Linked DNA regions of Notamacropus eugenii. The protein of the gene in region 2 purifies or fractionates together with the protein of the main gene of each other region. This does not show direct contact. Links are inferred from orthologs where the notes say so. Each region holds a gene or a part of one and is shown on either strand. Other genes may lie near its edges.

Region 1 (10,109 bases), on a different chromosome or scaffold from region 2:
AATAACTGACTCTTCCTTCTCTTTCATTCCCAACCCTTTAATATACAACCAGTTCCCAAGACTTGTAGATTCTACATCCATTAATGTCTCTCATATGCATCCTCTTCAATCTGGCACCGCACCTTAATTCAGGCCTCTTGATTAGAGTATTATAATAGCCTAATTGATCTCACTATATCCAGTCTCTCATGGTACAGTAGAAATAACTTTTTTGGGAAATCAGCCATATATTTAACTTGTTCCACCTTAGCCAAGTCATTTTACTTCTCTGGACCTCAGTTTCTTTATCTGAAAAATGAACAGGTAGATTAGATGATCTCTGAGGTTTCTCCTAGCTATAAACCTATGGTCTTTTCTAATCTATTGACCACATACCTACCAATCTAAACTTGCTAAGATACAGGTATGATGATGTCATTTCTCCACTCAAAAACTTTTAGTGGCTCCCCATTTTTTAAAGAGGACTATTCACTAAATGAGTGTTACCTTATTCTAAGTGAGTACCTGAAAAAGCCTTAGCCTAAAGAGGCCAAGGTCTCCCATTGCATCCTGGGTGGTCTCCAGTCATCCTGATGAATATCTGGTCACTGGATTCAGATGGCTATGGAGGAGAAGTGAGGCTGGTGACCTGCACAGCCCTCCCTCCCTCAAATCAAAGTCAAGTGCAAGTCATGTCATCATTCCCTTGATGCCATGGTCCTCTTTGAAAATGAAAGACAAACATAATAACCACCCCAGGATAAGATATGAACTGCTCAGACTGGTAATCAATGCCTTCTACAATCTGGCTCCCATCTACTTGTCCTGCTTTATTTCTTATTCCGTAATAAACTCTATGTTCTAGTCAAACTACCTAATCTCTGAACTTGGCATTTTATTTCTGACCTCAATGCCTTCTGACAGGCCAGTTCTTTTCTTCTCCCTTCCCACACCTCACAGTTGCAATAATAGTTATAATGATAGTATATATACATATGTATATAAATCCATTAATTTTTCCAAAGCAATTTCTTCACATCAACCCTATAAGTAGGAAGCATTATTACCCTAATTTTACAGATGAGGAAACTGAGGCACAGGAATTGTCTTGCCCAGGGTTTCAGAGCTGGAAACTTAAATTATCACCTCATTCCTAGTACAATGTTTTCTCCACTATATTATGAAGTTCACCCGTCCCTTATTTCTATTTTTCAGAAGATACATATATAGACGTACTTATACAAACAAATGTGTATGTATATATGCGTGCATATGTGTATGTGTATATATGTTCTAAATTTTTTACATTATTAACATTTAAAACTGCACTAAGACTCTTGGGATATTCTGAAAAAATGCACAAGTATATGAAATCACACATAACATACCTGTATATACGTGCCATTATGTATCTAATGTATAGGAAATTACAGACGTAGCTGTGCATTGTGAAAATGTATAGGAAATAGGCACAGAAAATTAAACATGTATGTGTATGTATATAATTCTACACCTAGATATTGTTGACCTGAAAACTTGGTTAAAGAAAAGGCAACAGGCTAAATGCATACATTTTATGATTTAATTAATTAATTAATCAATTCCCTATTAAAGACAACAGTAACATAATGCATTATGGAGCCAGAAATGTTCTGGCTACCTAGTGCAGAAATCTTCTGGCTTATATACATTTTGCTGTGAGAAAGGAACTCTCCTAGTTGAACAAATTATAAATTTAGTAAGACAAGACAATTAACAAAGTAATGTTGGTCAGGCCTTGTGATTCCAGGCTGGGTAAACATATGTCCCGGTGACAAGGAAGGAAATCCTACCACTAGTGAGTGGCAGGCTTCCTGCCCTAAACAGATAACTGACATAGGAAAGGGTAAACAAAGTTTAATAGAAATTACGACCTAAGATGTCTATATTTTCTTTACCATTAATATGCCATAACATAGTGTATGTCTATAGATAATAAGATATAAAGGAAAGTCCCATTATTCAAGATAGTGTCTTAGGTTAAAGGTCTCCTAAGGAATGTAGAGTCAGCCTTGGCTGGCTTTGTTGACATAGGAAGAGGCACCCTCTGAGTTTGCTTCAGAGAGAACAAAGAGATTATTCCAAAATTTTATATTAAACATTATCAATATACACACTCATATGTGTATACACACACACACACACAAATACAATTTCCCATGCTGTGTGTGTTTGTTGGGTCTCCTAAAAGTCTTAGTGAAGTTTTAAGGTTTCAGAATGTTGTGTGTGTTCGTCCTTCCTTGCTGGAGAAGACCATGCCACCAGAGACATGATGACATGACTTGCCCTTGACTTGTGTTGAGTGAGGGAGGGAGGGCTGTGAGGTCACCAGCCTCACCTCTCCTCCAGAGCCATGTGGATCCAGTGACAGATATTCCTCAGGAGGACTGGAGATGGCCCGGGATGCCCTGGGAGACCTGGGCCTATGCAGGCACTCACTTAGAGTGAAGGAATGCCCATTCAGTGAACAGGCCTCTTTAAGAAGGAATCAGGGCACGGCCCCTTTAATGAGGCAAAGAAAAAGAAGTACATCAGCTGGGAGGGAAACGGCAACAGTTACCACTGATAATCACTCTTAAGGCGGGAGGGTCTGGAAAACAGCCCTTATGGGGAGCCTGGGCCGGGGCCTGCTGGGTGCGATCTATGGGCGTCTGAGGGAAAGGAAAGAGAAGGTTTAGCTATGTAAACACTCTGGAAGGACCCAACTCTCGCTCCTCCCGCCCTCTGCCTCCTGGCCCCCTCCCCCCGCTCCCCAGGCCGTCCGTCCGTCTGTCTTTTTCTCGGTCTCTCTTTTCGCCCTTCCCCCTCTCTCGTCTGTGTCTCGGTGTCTCCGTCTCTCGTGGGTCCCTCTGTTCTCCCTCTCTGTCTGTCTGTCTCATCAGTCGCGTACCCCTCCTGCCCAGAGGATCTCTAAGGTCCCAACAAGTCCCTTCTCTCCGAACTTCGTTTTGCTCATCTGTAAAAGGAGGGGTTTGGATTAGGGGACGTCTTCCCCACTCTGCCATAAAGGGGCAGCGAGAAACGCCAGTAAATCCTTTAAGGAGTTTGAGTTACTGACAATTTCGGCCTTCGCGGCTTGCCGTAGCCCATCTCGGAAACAGCCTGGTATTGTGTCCTTACCCCCTCCTCCTCCCTCTCTCGGTCCTTCGCTCCGCCCCTGCGCTCGCCCCCGCCCTGTCGCCGCGCATGCGCCCGGGGAGCTGCCACTCCACATTACCCGCCTGGCGCCGGGAGGAGGAGCCTGCGCTGCCGCTGCCACCTCCACTTGGTCCCGGCGGGCGCCTGGTCGTCCGTCCTCGCCCGGGTCGGGCCGCGCTGCGCTCCTCATGAGCGGTGGCGGCTGTTGAGGCTTCGCCCCGAGCGGAGGTGAGGTAAGCGGGCGGAGGGCGGCGTCCGTCTGCGTGTCCGACCCCGGCCTGGAGCTGGGCCTGCGAGCCGGGAGGAACGGCCGCGCCCGGACCCCGGACCCCGGTCGCTTGCCAGAGCGCGGGGGACGGGCCTGCGCCGCCAGGGCCGCCTGCTCGCCAGCCCGGGGTGCGCCCCCTTTCTCCGAGGAGAATCTGGCCCCCTCCGGGCCCCCAGTGCCCCTCACCCGCATGCAGCCTGCGGGGCCCCCTCGCCCTGGTGTCCGCGTTCTCCTCACCTCCCCCCCTCCGGCTAACCACCGACGCTCTCTCCGTTTCCCCCACCCCATCATTCCTAAGCGTGGACCTCGTTTGTTCCCCATTCCTCCTCCCCAGAAGGACAGGCCCCAGTTCTACCCTGCCCTTCTTCAGCTGTCCCCCAGTCTTCCCAAAAATACCTTGGCAGCGACCAAGGCGGTGCCCCCCATTCCTCAGACTCCTTCCCCGTGCCTTCTTCAGGCTGGCCAAGCCCCAAAGCTGCAGTAGTTGCCTCTGCTCTTCCTCCCCTACTCCTCCAACACCTTTAGGAATAGCTTTCCATGAATTGGGAGTGTACCTCCAGTTACCTCCTTCCCCATTTCTCATAGCTGCACTAGCTCCTCGGGACTGCACTCAGCATCCACCTGCACCCCTTTTTCCAGGTCAGTAGGGACAGATCACTTTCACCTAATAATACAGTCACACTGTCCCCTACTCCTCTAAAAAGCCCAAAAAACTCCCCTTTGAAACACCTGGATTTGGATTCAGGATGCTTCATTATACAGTGAAATCCCCGTTTTTACCCTTTCTTTACCCCATCTAGAAACATCTGGGCTTGGACTCAGAAGGAATGCACTAGCTCTGTTACCTGTTTTATCTCTAGTGCACCCTAACCTCTAAGCAGCCAAACCCCAAGTGTTTTCCCTCATATCCCCTTATCACATATAAGAAAAATGGATCCTGAAACGACCAGGTGACGCTTAAGAGGGTGGCATTCCCTTTTTTTTCAATAACTACCCTTTCAGTTGTTCCTTTTCCCCCATTCCACTCTTTTACTCACACAGCCTGGCCTTAGCCTAACTCATTCTGCTTCCTCTCCCCTAAAAACTCTGAACCATTAGTTGTGAATAGAGAACAGGATTTCCTTTTCTTCAGTGATCCCCTCATGGTATCAGCCATGGCCCACTTCCCTGCCCCTCATCCCCTGACTCAAAACCCTTAATTTTGAGTCAGACTGTAGGATGGGCTTCTCCTATTTTCAGGGATCTCCGCCTTTCTAATTGCACATTTTCCTTGTCCAGCCAATCACACTTTTCTCTTAGCCACATCCTCGGAATGACCCCTTCTCTCCCTGGGGCTGGGGCTATATCTTTCACTGAAGGAGGTAGGTTTTTGTCTTTACCCAGAGCCTTTCACCTGAGCTTAGCTCATGCATTTGGGGGCAGAGGGAGAGCTCTTCTCATTTCTTCAGCCAGTAGTCCTCTGGTGTGTTCCTGGTCAGAGTTCCTGGCTTGGTCTTCTCCCTACTCAAATATTTCACTATTTTTTTGAAGTGGTTAGGCCATCTACTAAATGTTATTTTCTTGCTTTTCATTTCTTTGATGCCATTCTCTTTTCCTTTCCTTCTGATTTCAAAAGACTTAAACTTTGCCGGGTCCTGACCACCAGATCCCCTAAACCTTTCCTAGATATATACTAGGGGTTAGGGTTGCTAATTAAAACCTGGGATTTGTATGAGGGAAAAAAAACAGGCCTGATACCTGTGTGTTTTTTGGTCTGCCAGAAGACTTGTAAAGTGAGTGCTTATGATGTAATCCCTCTCTCCCACCTCCATCCTTCTCTTTTCAATGATTCTTTGGCCAATGTTAGTATTATTTATAATGACTTGTTTCCCCTTAGAGCAACCAGAAGTTCTGGTAAGACATTTTAAATTAAATTAGAATTCTCCCTAAATTAAATGAAGAAATTACAATGTCTAGTCTAGTGATTTTTAAGGTTTTCTGATGGAAAAAATAGGAAGTTTCAAAAATAGACATTTACCTCTTCTCATTCAACTGGTACGTGCTTGATGTAAGGCAAGTAATGGAAGTTAGTGTTGAGGCTACATCCAGAACTACTGATCTAAGAGGCAGGTGAAATAATTACTTACAGTACAGATTTTCAATACTTCCCATTGTCAAGCTGAAATCTAATTGAGCTGCAGTAGAGATTTTTTTTCATCTGCAGTATGAGTCTTGGTTGCAGAGTATCAGTGCAGCATTTCAAGCTTTGCTACAGAAGGCAAGGCAGTTGAAATTCCAACACAAAGCTGACTTTGGCTTGCACTTTTCGGCTCTGTTTCCTGGTTGTCTCATAAGCAAATGAGCTTCTCAGCTCACTAGGGAAACAGAAAACATCCTTATGCCTATAGTATGGAAACTGTAGCAGTCCATAACAACCATAAGGCTTCAAAAGTACCCTGGGCTTGTATTTTAGTGTATCTGCTTAATGTGTTCCACATGATTTGTGTCTTGGAATCTGGGTAACTTCTGAAACTGCTGTATCCTGCTGGGATTTAGTTTTCCTGTCAGTCTTATGAATTTAAAAACAAAACAAAAAATTCTTTAAAAATAATCTTTAAAGAAATAACTAGATCTTGGCTATTCCCAACAGCATTTTTAGGATTTTGAATAACAATGGAAAATGCCTCCATAATTTGGAATATTACTGTATATGGAATGCAAAGATAGTTCAAAGGTAGCTTGGTTATGAACAATAAACTAAAAGGTAGGAACCGGAAGTTTAGGATTACTATATTCTTTCTCTAAATTTATTTCAGTTATAAATTTATCCTCAACCTGAGAAGTTTTTGTGTGATAGGCTTCAGTATTATGGCTAAATGTTTATTATTAACTTTTTCTGGATATTGCTATGTTAAATGAGATATCCTTTTAATAATGGTTGTCCCTCTACTTCCTGTTCCCCTTACAGGTTCAAATTACTGAACACAGGTTTTCTTTTCATTATTGAAGCATTCTGGTTGATCATCCCTTCAAGCACCCTCAATCTGACTTGCTAGTTTCAGAACCATGGCAACTGAAGAAAAGAAACCAGAGGCAGAAGCCACCAAAACACAATCTACACCTTCCTCATCAACCAATCAGAGCAAGGTGTGTTCTAAAAGATCTGATGTCCTTTTAGGTGAAATTAAGCATGTAAAGACTTATATTGAAGTAAGGTTAATCCAAAGGTGGGTGTGTTAGAGCTAAACTCTGAGCAGCTGAGCCAACTGCTACATTTTCATGTGAGCGTTTATACCTTGGAAATCTGGTTAATGCTATAAATCTGGGCTTACTGTAATTGTTTTGTTGATTATATAGACAAAGTGATAGGGAAAATGTTAATAATAGAGACTAAACTTAAAAGTGTGTCATGTACACATTTTTTTCTCAGAGAGCAGGTTATTAAACATTTACCAGCACAGTGGGGTTGATCTCTTGGCCCCTTACTATATTGTTGAAAATTGTTGTTTCTCTTTTTCCACCTAAGTAAAATGCTATCAATAATACTTTTTCACCCATTCTAACTTTGTAAAGATCTGAGTAGGATGACTGTGATCACTTTCTGATATTTAATTTTATTCTTTCTAGCCCGCACCTGTAAAGCCAAACTACGCATTAAAGTTCACACTAGCAGGACACACTAAAGCTGTATCTTCGGTAAAATTTAGTCCAAATGGAGAATGGTTAGCAAGTTCTTGTAAGTAATCTCAAATATGTAATGTCACTACCTAATTTGGTTGTTGAGAAAATTGAGGCTGGGGTTTCAGTCCTTGAGATACTGCTGATTTAGCAACCCTTCCATATTAAATTGTTCTTGTCAGTATTGCTGACAGTTGAGTTGAAGGAACCTCAGGTTAATTTGACCTACTCATATCTGAATAGGAACTCTATAAAATAGCTATAGTTATTGTTCATCTAGCTCCCATTTAAAATAACCTTTGTGAGGGAGAATCCACTTTGTTCTGAGAAAATTCTCTCCTCTTTTGGCTAGCTCCAGTTGTTAGGAAATTTGTTCTTTATATAGAGAGTAAGTTTGTTTTTCTGAAACTCTGAACTCTTGTCTCTAGTTCTACCCTATGGAACCAAAGAGAACAAGTTTTGATCTCTTTCATATGATAATTCTTAAATCATCTTAGGATACTATATCTGGAGCTTTCCAGGGATCTTGTAGGCCATATAATCCAAGTCCTTATGGGACAGAGACTTGTACAAGGTCATAAGTAATGTCAAAGTTATACATCACCCTCCAGGTCTTAAGTTGAGCATCTTAAGTTGAATTCAGTTACTCCAGTGACATAATTTAAGGTGCATTTAAGAAAAAATGTATACAGATGTGGATACAGAGCTTCATATAGAGTCTTCTTATGTTTTACTTCTGGTTTCTTCCTTTGTTTTATGCATTAAAGCAGCGTAGTGTCCAGGCTAAGATGGCATTCTAAATTTAGACCCAGGTAATGCTTCAGTATGTGAAAGTAACTGTCTTCTTGAAACTATCAGAAGAGCTTACACTTTGGCAGGCCTGACCCAGTTAGTTGGGAAAATTTTAAATATAGTCCTTAAGGCCTATCTGAGAATCAACTTAGCTAAGGCCAGAAGGCTGACCACTAGGTGATTTAGCCATAGCAACTCATGAGTACCATCCAGTAAAGCAAAGAATGATTTCTGTTTGCCTTGGATCAGTGCCCAGATCAACGAAATTTTAGCTCCCCAAAGTAAGATTGAATTAACCTTTTTCAATTGCTATATTTTACTGGCTCATGTAAGTAAAACTTAGTCCCCCCAAAATTCCCCTATCTCTGAAATGAATTTTTGCATAGCCATATCTTCATCCTTTAGTTTTGTAGTTCTGTTTTTTTTTTCACTCAAGTATACAACTAATTACAATTAAATTTAACTTTAATAGATTTAGACAGTTCTATTTTGTCAGATCTTTTTGCAGCCTGAATCTGTCGTTCAGTATATTAACTATCACTCCCAGCCTCAAACCCTTGACAGGCATGTCATCCTCATTCATTGATAAAAATGTTGAACAGTGCACTGGGGAATTCCATTTAGAGATCTCCCTCCAGGTTTACTTTAACCTAGTAAGAGCAACTCTTTTAAGTTTGGTTGTTCTTGACTCCTCTTGTTAACTAGATCACTCTGGTTAACAAGGGTGTTTTTAAAGTTACCCCTAAAAAAAATCATCAAATTAAGTCTTAGTTACATAAGGCAATGGAGACAGATAGGCATTTAAGTCCTTTTTGATTCATTTCATACTGGAGGTGTAAAGCAAAAGCTTTCTTCACATTGTGTGAAATGAAGAACTAAATCAGAGCATTGTATCCATCAGTTTTCCCCACAGTCTGTAGTCAGAAAACTCCCAGGGACACACCTACCTCATGACGTGGTATTATGTATTCACACTGAGAAATGCCACAGTTTTGTTCTTAACCTTGGTACTTCAGGTGCAGTTAGAAAAGGTCTCCTCAGTCTAATAAAGGGATAAATGTAATGACAAAGCAAACTTTTTGCTGTAGTCAGATCTTTTATCCTACTTGAGTATGGACTTTTCACCAGAAGTTGGAGGTGGGGAGAATAACCAATTGCTTACCTCACAAGGTAGTTCTTAGCATCAAATAGAGACCATGTGAAAGCCGAAGTTATTACCCATCTCTAATAGACTAACAATGAATTTTTGTCTTTTAGCTGCAGATAAACTCATTAAAATTTGGGGAGCATATGATGGAAAATTTGAGAAAACAATATCTGGGCACAAACTGGTAGGCCTTTTAAAAAAAATACCTCTTTGGAGTTTATTATAAAATATAAATTAATGTTGTATAGTGGAAGCTGAGGGGATAAGAGCATTTTAAAGGTGTGGCTCATTGGCTTCAGATTTGGGAATAAACTAAGGCATTGCTGTACTTTTTGTTTGTCATTTCTTGCAAATGGCAGGTCATTTCATGCCTGTTTCATCAGTAGTTGCTAACTTTCAACAAAGCAGCTAAATTGGGTGTCTTGGCAGTGCTTCATATTTCTAAGAATATAACTTCTTATGTATTATTAATGCATTAGCTAAGCCTTTTTCTGGCAATTAAGTGGCTAGTGCTTTTTTTTTTTTTTTTTAATATCTCTTGCCTGTTTCACCTGGGAATTAATCTACTTTTTTCCTTCCTTTTCTTTTTTTAAAGGGAATCTCAGATGTTGCCTGGTCCTCAGATTCCAATCTTCTTGTATCAGCTTCTGACGATAAAACGCTTAAGATATGGGATGTTAGCTCTGTAAGTAGTCAGATTCCCCCTTCACCCCAGACATTTATTGACTATGTATAATTGAGAGATGGACAAAGGATTTAATATTTGTAAACAGCATGCTTTAGGGCACATTCCTTCTCTCTTTTTGGCTAAATTAAATGAGAAATTTCCAAAGGGACCTTAGGTCAATTAGTTCAGTTCTGTGATGCTGTGTGAATATTTTATATAACCTGCATGTAGGATGAAGTGTGAATTTCAAGAGATTCTAGAATATGGTGTTTTTTTGACCTTCTGATAAGTTTAGTTTGAATAGTAATTTTTTTTTAGGTAAATGGTACTATTTTGGGGAAAAAAATAACCTTGATACTTTTATTTTTTTAGGGGAAGTGTCTTAAAACACTGAAGGGTCACAGTAATTATGTCTTTTGCTG
Region 2 (10,109 bases):
TAGAACACAATAAAAGAGAGAAAAGTTGAACAGTCAACATACAAACAAGAGGTAATGGATTCTCATACCAAATAGGGATGTTTGAATCCAGAGAGCAAGACTAAGAGGGACAGACAGAAGGAAATGTGTCTGAAGGTGAATTGGGCCCCATCATCCTGAGCTATTAAAGGGTCTCTTGAGAGGGGAAGCGTTCCTGCACAAATTCAGGAAGAATCACAGCCACCAAATTTCAGAGGATGCATAGTCTCATTTATTCCTCATATATAGCAGGTAACTAGCAAAAGAAACAAAGATTTCCCACATATTTCAGCTGTAACTTATTTCTCTGGCATCGTTCAATGAAGTGGTTTGACAGAAACGAATTTTCCAGATGACAGTGGAAAGTTATTCTTCAGCAGTAGAAACTCAAACATTTTGTTCTTTAATGATGGTCTAAAATGTTATTGTATCCTTCCCAGACTTCCCTGAAAATAACCTATTCTTAGTTCTGGGTTCTGATGACCATAATCTAGCAGAGGGAGCTTAGCTTTCAGCTAGTCCAATCCTTATTTCAGAGATGAGCAAGTCGTGATCGCTAGATTAAGTGATTAACCAAGATAATACAGTTATTTCCACATCAACTGTTGTACGACACTGTAAGGCCACAGTGTGTCCCTGACTAATGATGCTTTTATAAATTCATATGTCTACTCAAAAAAAAAAGTACATAGCTCCGAAGTTAAAAACAAAAAATAAAAAAAGTCTCTGTGCTCAAGGAGCCTCCACTCTACTAGAGGAAATAGAGGCTGCCAAGAATACATGACTACTCACTGGTGAAGGGGAGAAGCCCCCTCATGAAGGTAAATGCTGGCCCTGACCCGTGCACACTTCCCCTTCTGGACTTCCCAGCAAATCCCCTCTTCAAACACCTCAAGGGATGCTACAATGCAAGCCTCTCAACCCAGCCCCCCCCCCAGCAATGTGCAGACTTGCACCCACCCTGGTTCAGATACTCCATTTAATGAGGAAGGACAAGAGCATCTCTTGCATCGGCATTCCTCATCCCCCGTCTCCTCTTCCCTCTGGTTTTCCTGACAATGCTCTCTCTGGTGCTTCTGCTGCTCTGCACACTCCATCATGGAGTCACACTCAAAAACTAGTCCTGCGTGTCCCCCACAGCTCTGACCTGGACCTTCTTTGCTTCAGCGATCAACAGTTCCCCTGGATTGAATTTTCTTCTCTCTTCTGATAATTCCATGGGCCTGAACCTCCCTCCTGACCTCCAAAAGTCTGTTAGTTATCTTTACCCAAACATCTCAGATACCTCAAACTCAGCATTTCCAAAATGAGCTCAGTCCCCTTCCCTGTAAGATCTCCCCCCTTTCCTAACTTCTCTATCACTGTGGAGAGTACCACTATCACCCCACTTCCTTCACCATCACTATTTACCCAGCACCCTGGAAGTGGCAACCCCTGACAGTCACCATTCTCAACTGCTACCCACAGGGCAGGCAAACCAGCTTAGATGAAGCAGGAAGGTACCCTAATCACTCTCAATCATCCTGGCCATCATCCCTCCTAAGACCCTGAAGCCTGTAGAAGAGCAAGGCTTCCAGCCCAGTACCCACAGCCGTCATCTGAAGAATGCCACCCCTGTGGAGACTCAGCCCAGCAAACTGCTCCCACAAGTGCAATAGCCACAGATATACAGACCCAGAAAAGAAAGTCCCTGACCCTGACCAACACCAGAGATGGCATTAAAGATACAGCACCAATGCCCACTTTGCCACTGCACTCTAAGAACCAACCTGATTTGCAGCTAAAACCTTCCCTATGTGGTAGCTCCCACATGTGAATTCTCACTCCTGGAAAGCAGGACCTGACTTTTCTATTTATATTCTTAGCACAATTCTTTGCACAAAGCATTTAGAAAATGCTTTATTCATCTCCCACAGCCACCAGTGGTCAAACCGTGTGAATTCCACCTCTCCTTTGACAACGACATCACCTCACCTCTGGACTTTCTTCAGTAGGGAAGGGGAAAGGACCTCTTATATACAGACACTGTGCTACATGCTTTATACAGCTCTCATTTAATCCTTACATCAATCCTGGGAGGCAGGTGATTTTTTATTATCCTCATTTTACAGATGAGGAAACTAAGGCCCAGGTCAGAGGCCAGATTTAAGCTCAAGTGTCCTTGACTCCAGGTCACAGGGCCACAGAGCTGCCTCAAGCAGGCAAAAAGTCAAAAAGTCTCTCCCCGATCCAGTCCGTTTTCCATGAAGCACAGGCCTGACCCTGTCACCCTCCCCCCTCACTCAATAAACTCCAGTGGCTCCCATCACCTCCAAGATCAAAGACAAAAGCCTCTGCCTTGCCCCTTCCACATACTCTGCCACTTGCCTCCTGGCTGCTCCTCCAACAAGAGAACAACTCCAGCACGACATGCCCAATGCCAAGGGAGAGGTCCATCAGCCATTTTCATACAAAATATGTAAAAGGTCATTTCAAGGGTGGAAGAGCACGCTCAGGCTGGGCTCTGAGAGTCACTGAGGTTTCTAAGACCTCAGGGTGAGGGACCCAGAACTGGAGTTCCCTCTCCCAGCAACCTGTCCTGGCTTCCTGAGTCTCTGCCTTCTCCAAGAAACCACTGCCAGCCCTCCTTAATCTCTGTGCCTTCCCTCTGAGATGATCTCCAATTGATCATGTGTGTCTGTCTTGTTTGTATGTGGCTGTTTGTACGTTCTTACCCATGAGACTGTGAACTCCTTGAGAACGGACTTATTTTGTCTTTCTTTGTGTCTGAAGCACTTAAGTTCAGTGCCTGGCACATAGTAGGTACTTAATAAAAGCTGGTTCATTTGACTTCAAGAAAAAAGTGGTTAGAATTTTTTAAAATTCTCTTTAAAAAGTACAAAATACCTCTGAATATGTAAGCACTTACAATAGGAAATCAAACTCAAGACAAGTGAGCATCTTTTACAAGAGAACCACAGCACAGGTCCTTGGGTTTCCAGCTACCCATCACTTCTGTAATACTTGTGACACTGGGAGTTAAACCCTCTCTAAGTCAGCTGCCTGACTCTAAGGCTGAGGAAGTAATACATTCATTTTAATTCTGCTGAGTCCCACTTTTTTCAACTTCTTTGGAAAACATTTTCACAAGTGGTTAACTTCCTGGCAAGGAAGGCGACCAGATTAAATTCGAGTCTCACACCTGCACTGAACCAGCCCTGCTAGTCTCCCTCCACTCCTCCTACAGAGGTGACATCCAGAGACCCTGAGAGTGGCAATGAACCACCTACAAGCAGCCACCTCCAAACTTTAGAGGTAAGAAGAGACCAATTCCTTCAAGCTCACAAGAGGAGAGAAAATCTTCATTCTTTCCATAACAAAAACAGCACTGGAGTCAAGAAAGCTGGCTAGAATCTGGCTCGGTTACTTTATGACCTTGGATAAGTCACCAGGCCTCAGTTTCTGCAAACAAAAAATGCATGGTTGGAATAAATGGAGTCATCTCAGAGGTTCCTTCTACCTCTAAACCCTAAGATACCATAACCCCCTCTACCTCTGCAAGCCCTAGAGAAGAGTGCAGGATCCTCACCTACTGGCTGGTAGCAGTGACATAAGTAGAAGATCAGGGAAAACGATGACCACAGCTTTCAGTCTGGGGAGAAAACAGGACAGAGTCCATACAGATTATCCACTTTTATACAGTTCTTTGTCTTCCAGTCCAAGAGGTTTAAAACTTCTGGAAAAATGACCCAGGAGAACTCAGTAAGATAAATGTCCAGCCTAGCAAGCGATCTTTTCAAGTCACCAAGCGTCCTTTCAATAGGAAACAGCAATGGAAATTCAATCCAGACAAACCACACTGCTCCTCCTTCCCTTCCAACAGTACACTTAAAAAAATAATCTTTTTTAAATAACTCTGCTAAAAGAAGTCAGTGACCTTTAGCAGGCTAAATTCTTCCTCCTGAGCCAACAGCATTATGTCTAAGCAAAGCTTCTGAAGGAAAGGAGCATGTTTCTTGAAAGAGTTCTGACAGGGTGTGAAATACATGTCCATCTAGACCAGAGGAAGCCTATTAAGGTTGAATGGCATTCCCAGAAGCTAATCTATAACTAAGTTTCACATTTAGCATTGTCTCTAAAAAAAAAAAAAGTTCAGCTTCAGGACACAACCTACACGAAACTTGGACAACTCTCAAGTTAGTCACTTTTTGCAGAAGTGTTGGGGAGTTTTTGCAAACAAATCTCTATAACATTAGGAAAAAAGGAGAAAAATCACCTCATGCATATTCTAATTTTGGTTTCTGAAGCTGGATCTCTTCTGGTAAGCCGAGTCAGCTTCAGAAATCACACCTCCAAATTCCCACCAGACTCTTCTACTCTCTGCCGCCATCCCTAAGTTACTCTGTAACCGGGGGCCAATGTTTCTACAACGTTTCCCACACCTCTTATCTTTCCTCAGATGTCAGTCTGGGATACAAAGTCTCAGAAAAGCATATCCACTCGGGAGGAACCTCCCAAAAGAGCACTCACGACACGATGATGGCTAAGAACTATAGTTCTACGTCCCTACACAGGTGAACACACATACAGCCAACACTTTACAACTTTTCCAACAACTTTAAAGAACCTGATGAACTCAAAAGCTTCTAGACAGATTCATGCTCTCCTCCGAAAGGGCAAGCTTCAAGCCACAAAAGAACTGTATTCTTCAGACACATGTAAAGACAAAGGAAAGAAGAAGGGAGGGGAGGCCAGGCTAGCTTGAGACTTCCTAAAATTCCCAAATAGCCACATTGGATTAGACCATTTGAAACGGCTCTTCACTTTAGAAATGATTAGGAGTTGCCAAATTGAAAGTGATCGAGAGACTCCTGAGGTGGATCTATGGCTCAGGATCGGGTCTCCCTGGTTAGCTGGGTGCCCACCCTAGACCAGATCCGGGCCAGTTGGCAGGGGGCAGGGCTAGGGATGAGGAGGAGCTGCGGCCTCACCTTACATTTCTGGATGAAAGAAGGCAAGGTCCCATTGGTCTGGGCGCGGACCCCAAACACGGGGCGTTCCCCAATTTGAAAAAGTTCCTTCTCCAACACGTGCCAGCCCTGCCAGCGCGCCCAGGCGACGGGCACCCAAACGCGCTCCCGGCCCAGACCCTGACGGACCGCCTGCCTCCGTTTCTCCATCCGGACGCGGTGACAACACTCCGAGGGCATGACACGCGCGGCCCCCGGCAACCTCAGCACCCAGCAGGCGCCACCTAAAGGCAGGCAGCCCCTCGGACCCGCGCCCACTGGCGCTCCTGGGCACGTGGGAGGAGCTACCCCCCCTCGCAGGTAAAGGGCGCCGCGGGGGCGGGGAGTCCCTCGGGGAGGTGTCGCCGTGCCCAGGGCCCCACCCGCACCCCGGCCACTTGCCTGCTCCGAGCAGTCTAGGCTCCCCCGACCCGGGAGCCCCAACAGCGCCGCCGTCCCGGGCCCCACTTTCGGCCGGCCCCCTCCCGCGAGAGCCGCGCAGTCTCGCGAGGCCGCCTAGTCCCGGGGAGTCTCGCGAGGCCGGGTCGGGGCCAACATGGCCTCCTGAGCACGTCTTCGGAACGGGAACTGCTCGCCACGGGGGAGGCAGCGACGGGGGCTGGGCCGCGCGGCCGGGGTCTGGGGAGGGAAGTGGGGCAGGATGCGCGCGACTCGGCCGCGCGGAGGCTTAGGAGAACTTCAACCCCCAAGTTTCACGTCAAACCGACCGGGCTCCAGACCGGTCACGTGAGCGTCAGCGACCCGCGTGCGTGTCACGTGGGCCGCAGCCCAGCCAGCTCCGAGAGCGCGCCCGGCGCCCCGCCCCCGAGCGCGGCGGCGGCGGCGCAAGCTTGTGCGCGCGCACCCCGCCCCACGTGGGGGCATCGCCACTCACAGCCGTGGCCCCCTCCCCTCTTCACTCTCCTCCGCCCTCCCCTCCCGGGATCCAACGCGCCGCAGAATCCGAGTCCCGCAGCCCCTCCCCCTCCCTTCCTCGCACTCCCCCGCCCGCCACGTGCCCCCAGCGGCCCCGGGGCTCACCTCGGGCGCCGCCGAGCCGACCGGAGAGAGCGGCCGGCGGGCGGCCCGTGGCCGAGAGGGAGGCCACCCCCGCCGCCCCCGGAAGCTCGGCCGGCCGCCTCCCCGCGGCCCCTGTGCGCCAGCCCGCCCGCCCGCCCGGCGGCGCTTCCAAGTGGGCCCGCCTCCCGCTTCTGCCACTTCCCGCGGCCGCCCCCTCGCCTTCTTCCGGCCCCTCCCTTCTCCTCCTCCTCCCCCCTCTTCTCTTTTCCCTTCCCCCCTCCTGGCTCCGCGGGTTCGAATCCCGGCCCTCCCCGCCAGCCTCACCTGATTAATAATGGCGGTCATAATAATTTATAATCATGATAATAACGGGAAGCAGCTGTCGCTGCGGGTCCAGTCGGCTAGATCTTAGTAGGCGCCCGCTGTGTTCCCGGCGCTGTTGCCAAGACCATGAAAATCACAGGTAGAGACTCAGTCCTATCCTTAAATTAAGTGACTTTGGCATTGGGGATGCCAAAGAAAAGAGCCCTCACCCCCCCTCGGGCAGCTTACGTTCTACCGCAGGGCATTTAGAGAGCACCTCGTAGCACTGGGTCCAGAACACCTTTCAAATGCCTGCCCAGGATGAAAACAGCTCCCCCTCCGATCGCTTAAGATCCCCGAGAAGAGCTTGGCCGCTGTCACCTGGGAAACAGCCTGGGAAATAGATACAAAGTAACTTCCCAGGCTCGCTCATTTCCTCCCTGTCAGCTACTTTGTAATCACCTGGAGAGCTGGAGCAGCCTCTGCCTCGGTGGACAGCTCCGGCCCCGCGAGCCCGGCACCCGCACCGCTGCCTTTAGAACCCAGAAGAACCTCCGAACTGAGCTTTGCAGACCAGCAAGTTGGCCCAAACACCGCACAAATGGGTCTACTTTACTGGGGGCCGGACTCCGCAGTATTGCTTTGACAGCAGGTACTACGAGTGGGCCCAGCCTCTATGCCCAGGACCCAGAGCAGGGCTCACATCCCGCCCCCCCTCTCCCCGACAGGCTGGTTGGTGAAGCCCCTGGTCCTCTCTTCAGAATGTTGTTTAAATGCATAAAATAAAATACTTTGGATTATAAAGGAAATCATTGACAGTAAGGAACAGTTAACAGAATTTTTTAAAAAACGAATTAATATCCCCCAGCTTGAGAACTCGTTCCCTAAAACCGAAGATCAGCGCCTTACGCTAGGAACAAATTCAAACACACCCTCCCCAAAGCCAATCAAGGATTCCAGAAATGGAGCCTTCCCAAAGTAGCCGAGCACTGTGTCGCTGGGATTTGTATTGGATGTTTGGAAGTTTGTTTTTTTTCAGGCATGTGAGTAAGTGGAGATGTGGGTAGGTGTCTTTAATACTACTAAAAAAAATTACTGCCAAGTTGAAATGTTTTCTCATATTTTGCTTAGTTGAGAGGGTTACTGAATGTCCATGGGAACAGTTGTCTATTCAGCAGAACTGGGAACATGGAAAGGATTCAGTGTTCCCTTTTAGACCAGAGGGTAGGGAAGAATTCTTACCCAAACAGGAGAAAAGCCAGCAAAAAAGTAAAAAAAAAAATTGTGAATTTGAGGTGCAGAAAATTAAAAAGATTTTGCCACCAGTAAAATCACTGACGCTAGAATTTTACTAGTGGTCTGGTGGGGAAATTTTATTAAGAATTGCATTGGAATGTAAAAAGCACAGTGCTTGACACATAGGAGGTGCTTCCTAATTGTTTATGATCTGATAGGCCAACTTGCCATGGGGTCTGGAATGCTCTCAGTTCTCACCTTCATTCTCTGGGGCACCACCCCCCTTTCCCCTAATGCTGCTCCTTATGTGAGAAGTTTAATGATTTTTGTCTAAGTGTTGATGCTCCCTCCCCCCGCCTCCAAAAAAGAAGCCATTTGTATTTCCAGTGTATGTCGGGAGGTGGGGGTGGCATTTACAGAGTTTTCTCCAGCCGAAGGTAAGCTTCTTGAAGATAAGTATTGTTCCTTGTCTCCATAGCCCCAGGCCCTATCATGAACCTGTTCTCAGTTCAGGTTCAATGAATCTTGAATTGAATTCCTAAATCACTATGGGATCAAAAGAGATGGACAATACTACAAATCACTAATAAAAAAAAAAAAACCACAAAGTACAATAACCCTACATGGTCACTATATACAGATCCAATTGGGAAGGATAAAAAATCCCCGAAATAGCAAATGTTGAAGAGTCCACAAGTGAACTAATGCACTGAAGGTGGAGTTGGGATCTGGTCCAAGCAGTCTAGAGAAAAGTGATTCAGCTCTTCATGTCTGAGCCATCATTCCATATACCCCAGGGAAGCAGGTGCTGGAAATCAAGGATCCACCCATACTCAAATAGTCCTAGTATTTGCTCCTTGATAGCAGCAAGGCCTTGAAAAGAGGGGGCCAGCTGACTGGGGGAAAATAATAATGTTAATAATGATGATGGTGATAGCTAACATATAGTGCCTACTATGTGCCAAACACTACAAGGCACCCTTTAGGATTATTATTGAATCCAGGCTCAGCACTCCACCCACTGCTCGACCTAACAACTTCCAATAAATGGATGATGCTGCAAGAAATGAGCAAAATTGGGGATATGAGGAATCTGGAGAAAGAGCCATGGGAAGAATTACATGAAATGAGTCAGAATCAATAAAGCAGAACCCAATGACTGCAGGAACATGAATGAAAGCAACATGGGCAGGATTCAGATTATCTGCAGTGTCTAATATTGACTCCAGAAAACTATGGGTGGAAAACTCTTCTGTCCTTTAACTAGAGAGATGCTGGGTCACAGGTATTGAACCAACTGTTACTCGCAGTCTCACTGGGCAGAGGGGAGGGTTGCTGGGAGTGACTGTCATGCAAAAATAAGATAAAATAAAATATGAGAGAAGAACAGAGATGGAACTGATATGGTCCCATTCACAGACAAAGGATAGTTTTGTACACTGGTACCTCCGTTACAGGGACTTGGGCATCCAGGACCCGGAGTCAGGAAAGACTAATTTGAGGCCTCAAGGGGGCGCCATGGTGCACACAACACAGAACCTGGAGTCAGGAAGGGGACACAGCAGTGCACAGAACCTGGACGTGGAGTCACAAAAGGCCAATTCCTTATGAGGCCCCTACCTAGGCAGGCCCACAGGCACAGAGCACTGGAGCTGGTGTTCGAGCTGGGTGACTCCTGGTAAATCACTTCACCCTGTTTGCCTCAGTTTCCTCATCTGTAAAATGAGCTGGAGAGGGAAATGGCAAACTACTCCAGGATCTCTGGCAAGAAAGCCCCAAAAGGGGTCGTGACTGAAACAACTGAACAGCTAAAAAATGGAGACCATGACAGCACCTACCTCTCCAAGTTGTTGTGAAGCACTTAGCACGGTGCCTGGCACATAGTAGGCACTTAATAAATTTCCCCTTTTGTTTCCAGAAGATGTTCAAGTTGATTTACTAATGGCACTAGATGAAGGCCTCTCAAAGGCCAAGGTGTTAACCCAAAGTGAGACAGAAGCAGGAGTCTTGGAGCTCAGGCCCCCTGTGGTTGTCTCCTTCAGCTTTGCAGCAGACACACTTAATGAAACTTGTAACCCTATCATCCTATCTCTGATAAGACAAGGATAAACTGTGTCCCGATGCATCCTCTTTGTTAACAGAAGTAGCAAAGCTTGTGTTGATTGTTACATAGAAGTAATTTCATACTTTTTGCTCCTTTATACATTGTATTTGATTTTCAACCACAAACTGTAACTATTTCCTCCAACTCCTTACTACACAAATAGATTTGTGCCAATCAATTGCTACAGTTTAAAAACTCACAGCCTAAGGGAGCCCTGGACTGCTACCCTTGCAACATTTAATAACTCTGTGATCATTAGCATCTTATTTCAAGTCTCAGCTTTCTGTTCTATGAAATAGAGATACCTACGATACCTACAGATAACATATGTAAATGTATTTGCAAAATGTAAAGTACTACACAAATGCTATTATTTCATCTATAAAAAGTGGGGCAAACATGATTTATTTTGTCAAGTAGGCTCCTTTGATAATTTTTAA
Region 3 (10,109 bases), on a different chromosome or scaffold from region 2:
CCAGCTCTTAGGACCACAGAGCTAGCAGTGGAATGGACCTTAAAGGCCATGTAGTCTAACTCCTTAATTTTACATATGAGGAAACTAAGACCTGCAACAGTTAAGTGACTTGCCAAAGATCCCACAGGTAATGAAAGGCAACATTTGAAACCAGGTCCTTTAATCCAAAGCTCAAGCTTCTCATGTCAAACTGCCTCAGTCTCATTCTGAGTTCACTGAACTAGGGCATCTTGGGCACCCCACGCCTCTGGATCCTCACCTCCACCAAAGCCTGTAGAAGTCGTTGAGTCAAGGGGCCAAAAGGACACCCATCTTCAGGCTGCTCATGCTGGGCCTCTGATTTCTTAAGCAATGCATCCACATCTGGAACCAAAGAGGGGTAGATGATATAAAGGAGGCAAGTGGATTGCCAGGCACAGCTTAGACATTTTCCCTGGGTCTTATAGGAATGAGGAGGAAGAGGGAAAAGATGAACTGACTAGACCAAGGAGAATACCTTTAGTGTCCAGTTCAGTCAATGGTCCCATAATGCCTTTCTTCTTGTCAGCTACAGCTGCTGCCCGGGCCCCATCCTTCTGTTCTTCCAGTAAATCCTCCTGGGCCCAGCGCTGGGAATAGTGCTTCCCCAGGGGTGGGATCTGTATGGAAAAAGGAAGCAAACAGGATAAGGACCAGTCAAACCAAAGAACCTTTTTTGCAGTTTTTCCTTCCTTATTCAATGTGTTTCAGAAGCAGAGCCTGAGGTAGTCTAAGTCTCCAAATAAGACACTCCCTGCCCAAAACAGGGTGCGACATGGGGCGGTGCTCAGAAGGGTCTACCTTGTAATGCTCAGCCTCATCTTCTGGGGGCTTCAGCAGCTCTTCCAGCGTTCGTACTTCCTCACTGGTGATGTCAGCACAGTACGGCTCCACGGAAGCCCAGAACCTGGGAGCAGAGCCTGGCCCTGAGCACAGACAGTCCCCTCGCCTATTATCAGCCACTGAATTAAGTGCCTGCTAGATGGGTGTTCCCATTCTACATGCTTATCACAGAGAACAATGACAACCCCCAGGAGATCAGCATCCCCCCTGGAGTCCCTCCCAATTCCTGATAACCCATTCCCCTTGACTTCTCCCAGCCCTGCACCTGTTAGGAGCGTCATTCTTGGGAATCCGAGGCACATCAATGGGGTCATCTGTGAACTCATATTCCTGGATCTTGGGCTGGAGGTTCTTGGATTTGGGCCGACCAGGCCCAGGCCCAGGCCCATGACCTGCCTTTCCTTCCAGCTTCTGTTTTTTGGGCTTGCCATGTTTTGCAGGGGCTCCCAGTTCATGGTCCCGGCCCAGCTTCAGGAATCGCCGGTCACCTTTCTTATCCTGCCAGTCAGTCAGAATCTGAAAGACAGACAGAGGGTTACTGAAGGAAAGAAGGGAGCCACTTTCACCCAAAAAAAAGATGGAGCCTGAGGGACATAAGCCCTCAAGAAATGGGCTGGTGGTTGCCTCTATAACTCAAATATTCATCCAGGCAGCCTTCCCAGGCTATGGATGATACCTTGCTGCAACAGCACTTCCTTCCCCAGCACTCAGGGTCACACATGGCCTGCCTCCCAAGTATAAGCTTCCTTTGTCTTCTCTTAACTCTTCCAAGTACCCACACCCTAGCACGGACATGACGACTCCTGCCTATTCCATTCCAGCTTGGCCTCACTACCCAATCTGTGCTCCCCTCCCTTCTTCCACCCTGTCACTAGGGCAGGGACCAGTCAAAGGAAGAAGTCACCTGGGTCTCAGCCTCCAACACCCGAAGACGTCGGCTGGCTGAAGAAAGCAGGTTCTCCAGCTCCAGCTGCAGGGTGTCAAGCTCCTCAATGCCAATGCCATCATCTTCTGAGCGGGCCAGCACCGCTGTGTATCGGGGACATACCTTCAAGTGGTCAACTGACTTGAAGTCATGGAACTGCAGCGGGCAGTCCTTTAGCTCACTCATGGCGTTTGGGTGCTCTACAGGGCTGGAGAGGAAGACAGTCAACTGACAAGAACAGGGAGGCGGTGTGGCACAAGAGGACCTCTTTGGGGAGGGGATGGTCCTGGGACAGCCTTAACTTGCAATGGAAACAGGAATTCTCCCCACTTCTAAGATGTCCCTGCTCTCTCTCATTCAACCTCTTCTGCTAATTTGACCCCAATTCCACTCCTGCCTACCCTGATCCCCAGTCATGTCTCCTACCAGGCTCCTGTCCTCATTCTTCCTGTTTCACAACTTGTTTTTCCCTCCCATGACCCCTGAACTTCTGCCTTCTTCCCTTTCCTTTTCTTTTTCATTCTTCTTTTTCCTCATTTAAGTCAATAAGCCTTCATTAAGCATCTGCTACATACCAGGCACTGTGCTGGGTACCATGAATACAAAGGTAAAAAGAAAATAGTTTTTGCCCTTGAGGAATTTATAAGCTATTGAGGAGAAATTTGTATATGTATAAATGTATGCCCATGGATGTATATGCACATATATGTATATAGATGTACATATATGTGCAAATAAATCCTAAAAATATGCCAAATAAATACAAATTAATTTGGGGGACAGAGCCAATAACAACTGGGGGAAAATGATATAGGCTTTTTGTAGGAGTCAGCATTTAAACTGAATCTTGAGGATCCTGGGGACAGCCTTTGTAAAGACACAGAGACAAAATGGTGAGTGCTGGCAAGAGTGAGTGGGCAAGGAGGGCCAGTTTGGTGGCAGGCAGAGTGCTAGAGGAAGAAGAAAGAACCTGAAGTCATGATGTGGAGGAATTCAAAGGCCAAACAGAGGAGTTGTCCTCTGTCCTAGAGGCAACAGGGAGCCACAGAAGGGCATGGGAGTAAATACAAAAGGACACATTTGAGAAATGCTATGGAAGCAAAATCGCCAAGACTTGGCAACTGGTTGAATACGAGATATGAGACAACGAGCCCCACCTGGCTGATCGGAAGGACAGTGGGGTTTGTGCTAATCTGTTTCACCTCAGGAAGATGAAGCTGACTCCCAGATACAAAAGGGAGAGGCAGCATGGCCTAATGGCGAGAATACTCACCAGATACAGGAAAGGCAGGAGGAGGGAGAGGTCTAAGGAAAAAGTTAAGAAGTTATGTTTTGGACATGTCGAGATTGCAGTGGCTATAGCATGTCCTGGAGATGTCTAGCACGCGACTAATGAGACAGATCTAACAAATGTGAGAGCTGGATTTCATAGGATCATAGACTGAGAGCTAGGAAGAACCTTAGATAACATGGAATCTGATCCTTCCCTCCCCACCCTCCGCTTTTCAAAGAAAACTAAAACAGAGAGAGGTTCAGTGAATTGTCAAGGATCCTACAACTAACGTCTAAGGGAAGAAATGAACTCAGATCCACCTGACTCCAGGTACAGTGAGTGCCTATCCACTATGCCATGCTACCCTTCAATGTGAGATTGGGAAGTCAGCTGCAACCTCCTGAGGTGAAACAATATGTGTACAGATAAATACAAAAATGCCCATAAAATAAATACAAAATAATTTGGAGGAGGGAGTGATTACAACTAGGGGAAATCAGGAAAAGTCTTTTCTAAGAGGTAAGAGAGATGACAGTTGAACTATGGGAGCTGCTATCACCAAGGAAAAACATGCAGAGAAGTGAACCTCAGTCACAGCCCTAGAGAATGCTCAGAGTTATAGGTGAGCTATGATGCTTCTGCACTCAGACCCAGTCCTCCTGACTGGTGAGTGAGTAAGTGCAACCTAGTCCACGTTGTTTCTAGTAACAGGCAATCAGATACCATTCAGCCTTCCATCTTGCCATCTGCCTGTCACCTTGCACCCTTCTTTCTTCAACTTTCTACCTTTGGCACAGTATTCAAACCAAGAGTGCCGTTGCCTCTGAAAAGGACAGGTCAACTGACTGCCCTATGTACAACAACTCACATCCCTGTGAATCCTCAGACCAAAGCTCTCTTCCCTAGTTTCCATGTTCATTAACTCCCCCAATTAGAATGTAAGTCTCCTGAGAGCAGGCACTGTCTTATATTTGTATCTCCAACGTGGTCATCATCTCCAGGCTAAGTACTGGACTTCCTCTACCAGGCCCCCAACCTAGAGCCTCTTTCCAGTCCAGGAACTCCCACTTTGGAAGTAGCCCGGGTCAGGAAGCCTCTTCCTCTGATTGGATGGCTCCCAACAGAACTCCTACTTAAGAAGGACTGCCTAGGTCAACAGTCTCATTTCTCCCCAGACTGCCCTGTGACTTTCCAAGGCATCTCCCTTGTCAGAGTGGAAGCTCCTACTGCACAGGGCTTTCCTTTGCACCAGCATTTGTATTACCCGCCCTTGCGCACAGTGCCTGGAAGTCACAACTGCTCAATAACAAAGATGTGTCTGTTGACTAGACAATGTGGTATGTGCTAGTATGTCTGTAATGAGTGGTCATTCAGTTGTTTAAAGGATGCTGAGGAGAGGTGGAACAAAGAAGGGACACAAAACCCAGCGGAAGAGAGCGCTGCACTGTCAACTGAGAGTGTCTAGAAGAATGAGGGCTGGAGAAGGGGCAGATGGAGTCAGGGTCCTGCTTCCTGCCATCCAATCTTGACCTTCCACATATTCCCTCTCCTAGACCTGCCCCTCCATCTTTCTCCAACACAGAATTAGGGGCATTCCTTTTACTGATCCTTTCCCTGCAGCCCCCAATGGCCCCTCGCCTCCACACCCCCTCCCCTCCCCTGCAGACTCCCAAGTCCCTTGCTCTATACATCCCTCCCCTCCCCTGCAGCCCCCCATGGCCCCTCACCTCCACGTCCCCTTCCCTTCCATACAGCACCCCCAATGGCCCCTCGCCTCCACACCCCCTCCCCTCCCCTGCAGACTCCCAAGTCCCTTGCTCTATACATCCCTCCCCTCCCCTGCAGCCCCCCATGGCCCCTCACCTCCACGTCCCCTTCCCTTCCATACAGCACCCCCATGGCCCCTCACCTCCACACCCCCTCCCCTCCCCTGCAGACTCCCAAGTCCCTTGCTCTATACATCCCTCCCCTCCCCTGCAGCCCCCCATGGCCCCTCACCTCCACGTCCCCTTCCCTTCCATACAGCACCCCCATGGCCCCTCACCTCCACACCCCCTCCCCTCCCCTGCAGACTCCCAAGTCCCTTGCTCTATACATCCCTCCCCTCCCCTGCAGCCCCCCATGGCCCCTCACCTCCACGTCCCCTCCCCTCCCCTCCCCTCCCCTCCCCTGCAGCCCCCCATGGGCCCTCCCCTCCACGCCCCCTCCCCCCTTCCCAAGCCATCCTCCCCTCCCCTCGCTTCCCTCAGCCCCACAGCCCCCGCCCCTCCTCACTCCCCGTGTCATCGCCCACTCCCCACGCCCCGGTCCCGCCTCCACCTTCACAGCCCGAGCTCTATCCGGATCCCACGAGGCGCTCGCTCGGCCGGCCTCGGTCCCTCGCGGGTGGAGGGGCCAGGTCCACGAGCTCAGGTAACTGCTGGCCCTGCAGGGACAGGCGGAGCCGCCCACTGCGGCCCGGGGGTGGTGCAAAGGGGCCGGGCCCACTCTCGGGCGAGGCTGGGGAGCCTAGGCGGCTCGGGCCTGGGCAGTAACAGACGACGGGCGGGCGGGGTCAGAACCGGAAGAGGCGGGGCCATCCCGTGTCTGGCCCTGTCCTAATATGGAGACAGAACGGCGAGCTGGGCTGTACCTTCTTGCTGAGGGAGGGGGAGAGAGGCGGGGGGTGCAGGGGTGACAGGGAAGGACAGACACGGCAGAGCTCCCCTCATCGTGTCAGGCCCTGAAGAAGGGTTTCCAGCGTCGGAGAGAAGGGGTTCCTGCGAGCTTCAGGGGAAGAGGAGAACAGCTGTCGTTGTTTCGCTCCAGCTCCCCCTGCCCTTGGAGCAGCGGTGGTAGCGCCCAGGCCCGGCTCCCGGAAGAGACGGCGCCCCGGAGCCAGTGCACTCCTGCACTTCCGCTTTCCGGCCTAACCAGCCCCAGCAATGGTGAGAATTGGGGGGCGTCCGCTGAGGATCCTCGGGGGGGCAAGGGGAGGGAGGCCACGCTGCGCTGGGGAGGGAGCCGAGGCTTCCCAGGGGCTAAGGAGGATCAGGGGACGGTGGGGGAGCCGAGGCAGGTCCACTGGGGAGGAGCCTGAGTGGGCCCCTGGGGCTGGGAGAGCTGCTGGGGCAAAGGCGCGGAGGGCGGATGAGGGACTTGGCAGAAGGGCACAGAGAGGATGAGGGGGCGTCCCGGGGGGTGGGGAGTAGAGGATCGAGGGCACGGGGGAGGAAGGGGAGGATGAGGAGGGGGGAAGCAGGGGCTGGGGGGATGCAGGGATGGATGAGTAGAGGGGCAAATGCGCGGAGGGCGGATGATAGAGCGAGACCCGAAGACTGAGAGGGATGGAGGAGGAGCAGGGAGGGGCAGCAAGAGCAAAAAGTGAAGAAGGGGAAGTGGGCAGGGGTGGGGCATGAAAAAACAGGGTTCGGAGATGGGGCACCGAGATTTGGATCCCAGCCCTGCACTGGACCAGGGCTGAGTGACCTTGACCGAGTCATTTTCCGCCTTAATTTCCTAATTTGGCGATGATGTCTATGCCACCCCCCCCTCCGGGCTACAATAAAAGTACTTGATTGGATTGTGTGAAGGGAGTTATTATGGAGAAATGAGAGGATGCCAAGGTGATCCAAAGAGGCATTTTGGGGAGGAGTTGGGGGTGGGGCATGAAGGGCACAGGTGGAGTTTGCCAGCCCCCATGTCTGGTCCCCTGGGGGAAGGGGCAACCGGGGCCGCCAAGCTGAGGGTGCTGTCTGGTTCCTGTTAACACCAGTAATAGGAAAAACGAAATGCATGTTTCTTGGAGCAGGGGTGGGGGGCACCCAGCTCTGATTCCTTTTCTGTTTCCTATAGACTGCCACTCTCCGCCCCTACCTTAGTGCCGTTCGGGCCACACTGCAGGCTGCGCTTTGCCTGGAGAATTTCTCCTCCCAAGTTGTGGAGAGGCACAACAAGCCAGAGGTAGAAGTCAGGTAGGAAAGAAGCAGAGCATGGGGGCCTTGCTTATTGGGACTGAAGGGCAACCCCAGGACCAAGGTGTCGGTGAAAACTGCAGAGCTGTTTCTGCAGCACTGCATCCCAGAATGGTGCATATGGGCAAAGAATCCTGTGGGGATGATTTCAGGCGATTTACACATCTCTGAGTTATCACTTCCTCTTTTTTTTTTTTTTTTACCATAAGGACTGAGGGAGGATATAGTGAGTGACATGAGCTGAAAGAAATTTTGGTGATAAGTGCAAAAATCATTCTGGATCAATAATTAAAGAACTTGGGCTATTTTTTTTTTCGTTAATCTACTTGTATAGTTGATCTCTATAGTTCCTGGGGTTTGGGTTTTTTTGGATGTATTTTTTTCCCCAAAATTTATTGATTTATTTTCAGTTTTCAACAATCACTTCCATAACTTCCAAATTTTCTCCCCCTTCTTCACCAAGACAGCGTGCAATCTTATGAGTTCCATACGTACACTCCTATTAAACACACTTCATATTAATCATGTTGCGTAGAAGAATTAAAACAAATGGGAGAAACCATAAGAAAAACAAAATGTAACAAAGGAGAAAATAATTTGCTTCATTCTGCGTTCCAACTCCGTAGTTCTTTCTCTTGATGTGGATGGCATTTTGCATCATGAGTCCTTTGGGAATGTTTTAGGTTTTTGCTTTGCTGTGAAGGACTAAGTCTATCGTAAACAGCTGTGGAGCACTGTGGCTATTACTGTGTATAATGTTGTCCTGGCTCTGCTCTCTTCGCTCAGCATCAGTCCATCATATAAGTCCTTCCAGGCCTTTCTGAAGTCTTCCTGTTCATCATTTCTTAATAGCACAATAGTATTCCATTACATTCTTATACTACATCTTGTTCTGCCATTCCCCAGTTGATGGGCATCTCCTCTATTTCTAGTTCTTGGCCACCACAAACAGAGCTACTATAAATATTTTGGTCCTTTTCCCATTTTTATGATCTTTTTGGGATACAGTCCTAGAAGCAATATTGCTGGGGCAAAGGGGATGCACATTTTTATAGCCCTTTGGGCATAGTTCCAAATTACTCTTCAGAATGGTTGGATCAGCTCATGGCTCTACCAACAATGCATTAGTGTTCCAACTCTCCCACATCTTCTCCAATGTTTATCATTTTTCTGTCTTGTCATGTTAGTTTATCGAAGGTGTGATATGGTATTTGGTTCCTGTTTTGAATCATCTGTGCAGTTAGCTAGATTGTGTCTGCCACCTTGTGCTTTTATCTTAGTTGGTGATTTTAGGTCCTGTTGTGTAGGGTCTTCTGGACTTCTCTTCATCCATTGACAGTGGAATCTTTGATGTTGCATTTATAGGAGTAGTAAAGAACTCCTGTTACAACCTGTGACCATCAGCAGGAATGAGAAGGAAAAGGTTCTGATCGAGGGTTCCATCAACTCTGTTAGAGTCAGCATTGCTGTAAAACAGGTTAGTTTAACACTTGAGGATTGCTTAAAACTGGAAACTGGATGTTAGAAATTTTGCATGACACTGAGGACTTAGGGTCCTGAGATCCCTAGATGTGGGATTGTTGAGGAAAGAGCTTAATGAAATGAAACAGTGAAACAATATTTTCTGGGACCTCACTGCTTTAGGAAGGTGAGCAGTGTGGAGACAAAATAGATTCTATCATGAATAAGTATCAAATCGAATCTTTTCAAGTTGTTACCTTTTGCAGACTATGATGGACAGAGCCCCAATAGTAGAGTCAGAGCTGCATGTGAATCTGTCCTGCCTCTCAGGAGCTTTGTGAACTTGGGCAGGTCACAAAGGTTATGTTTCTGTGAGCCTCAGTTTCCCCATACACAAAATGAAGATAATGGACTACCTACTTCACAGGGTTCTCAAGAGGACCAAATGAAATAGTTGAACATGGTTTATAAACATAAGATGATATGTAAATATATGTTTACTTCTAACGATAACACAAATTCAGATATATTTTAGCTGCATGATACAAAAGTAACAAGATTGATGCAGTTCTCTTTCCTATTTTCTGAGGCTAGGCCTTTTGACTTTTTTGGTGGAATGAGAGAGGAATACTAGGTGGTGCAGTGGATAGACTGGGCCTGGAGTCAGGAAGTCTCATTTTCCTGAATTCAAATCTGCCTTTAGACACTTACTAGCTATGTGATCATGGGCAAGTCACTTAACCCTGTTTGCTCAGTTTCTCATCTGTAAAAATGAAGTGGAGAAAGAAATGGCAGACCACTTCAATATCTTTGCTAGGAAAATCTCAAATGGAGTCACCAAGTGTCAGATATGACGAAAATGACCAGACAACAAAAACTACATACATACTTCATCCAGAAAAAGGAGATAGAACTAGTTCCCAGGAATGGAAATAGGTCATCTTAATTAACTTTTATTGCACCACGGGTCTCTTGGGCAGTCTAGTGAAGCTCATAGACCCCTTCTCAGAATGTGTTTTTAAATGCTTAAAATACTGAGGATTACAACAGAAGCCAATTATCTCAAAATACAGATATGAAAAATATTAGAACAGGTTCACAGACCCCAGGCTAGGAATCCCTGTGTTCATGTAATGTTCTTAAGTTGGGGAGGACCTTCCCTGATATGCTTAACTCTCCTCATTCTTGAAGGTTAGTTTTTTTCCTTTTGGTTTCCAGAAGCCTGGGTTGAAGGACATGGCAAGGCAATGGTCTCAGAATGGACAGACAGCCTCTGTATGGTAGCATTGTGGGGAAACAGTTGGGTGTGAGAGACTGAGGACCAGACCATTGATTGTGCTGGCTTTGTGGAAACTTGGATTTTTTATTGGTCTCTGCAGGCTGATGAGATTGAGAAGATCCTTTGCCACAAATTCATGCGCTTCATGATGATGAGAGCGGAGAACTTCTTCATCTTGCGGAGGAAGCCTGTGGAGGTGAGCTAGAGACCTGGATCTGAAGTACTTAACCAGGGAGAGTAGCTGTAATTGGTGTGTCCTGGGTTCAGAACTTGGGTAGCTTAATAACTGCTGGCCTGGGTAGATGGGTCCCTCTGATCTTCCTGACTCAAAATGTGTTTCTCTTTTTTCTTAATTTG

What was found.
Region 1: the proteins of ZZZ3 (region 2) and WDR5 purify together in Homo sapiens (affinity purification with mass spectrometry; 5 studies listed by BioGRID and IntAct, counting the BioPlex papers as one, with this or other methods). This does not show direct contact. The link is inferred for Notamacropus eugenii from reciprocal best matches to the Homo sapiens genes ZZZ3 and WDR5.
Region 3: the proteins of ZZZ3 (region 2) and TADA3 purify together in Homo sapiens (affinity purification with mass spectrometry; 4 studies listed by BioGRID and IntAct, counting the BioPlex papers as one, with this or other methods). This does not show direct contact. The link is inferred for Notamacropus eugenii from reciprocal best matches to the Homo sapiens genes ZZZ3 and TADA3.

The regions. Positions count from the first base shown.
Region 1 is NC_092872.1:486,766,035-486,776,143, forward strand, and holds the start of WDR5 (WD repeat-containing protein 5), read left to right. Parts: upstream 1-3,260; 5' UTR 3,261-3,389; intron 3,390-6,371; 5' UTR 6,372-6,469; coding exon 6,470-6,550; intron 6,551-7,030; coding exon 7,031-7,139; intron 7,140-9,130; coding exon 9,131-9,204; intron 9,205-9,615; coding exon 9,616-9,705; intron 9,706-10,059; coding exon 10,060-10,109.
Region 2 is NC_092873.1:538,893,317-538,903,425, forward strand, and holds the start of ZZZ3 (ZZ-type zinc finger-containing protein 3), read right to left. Parts: upstream 6,192-10,109; 5' UTR 6,048-6,191; intron 5,751-6,047; exon of another isoform or gene 5,409-5,750; intron 1-5,408.
Region 3 is NC_092874.1:435,648,921-435,659,029, reverse strand, and holds the start of TADA3 (transcriptional adapter 3), read right to left. Parts: upstream 5,518-10,109; 5' UTR 5,379-5,517; exon of another isoform or gene 5,377-5,378; intron 1,995-5,376; 5' UTR 1,973-1,994; coding exon 1,766-1,972; intron 1,378-1,765; coding exon 1,127-1,377; intron 968-1,126; coding exon 820-967; intron 639-819; coding exon 497-638; intron 364-496; coding exon 260-363; intron 1-259. Other genes in the region: ARPC4 (actin-related protein 2/3 complex subunit 4), read left to right, coding at 5,984-5,986, 6,894-7,012, 8,378-8,489, 9,853-9,948. UniProt on the Homo sapiens protein: Functions as a component of the PCAF complex. The PCAF complex is capable of efficiently acetylating histones in a nucleosomal context. The PCAF complex could be considered as the human version of the yeast SAGA complex.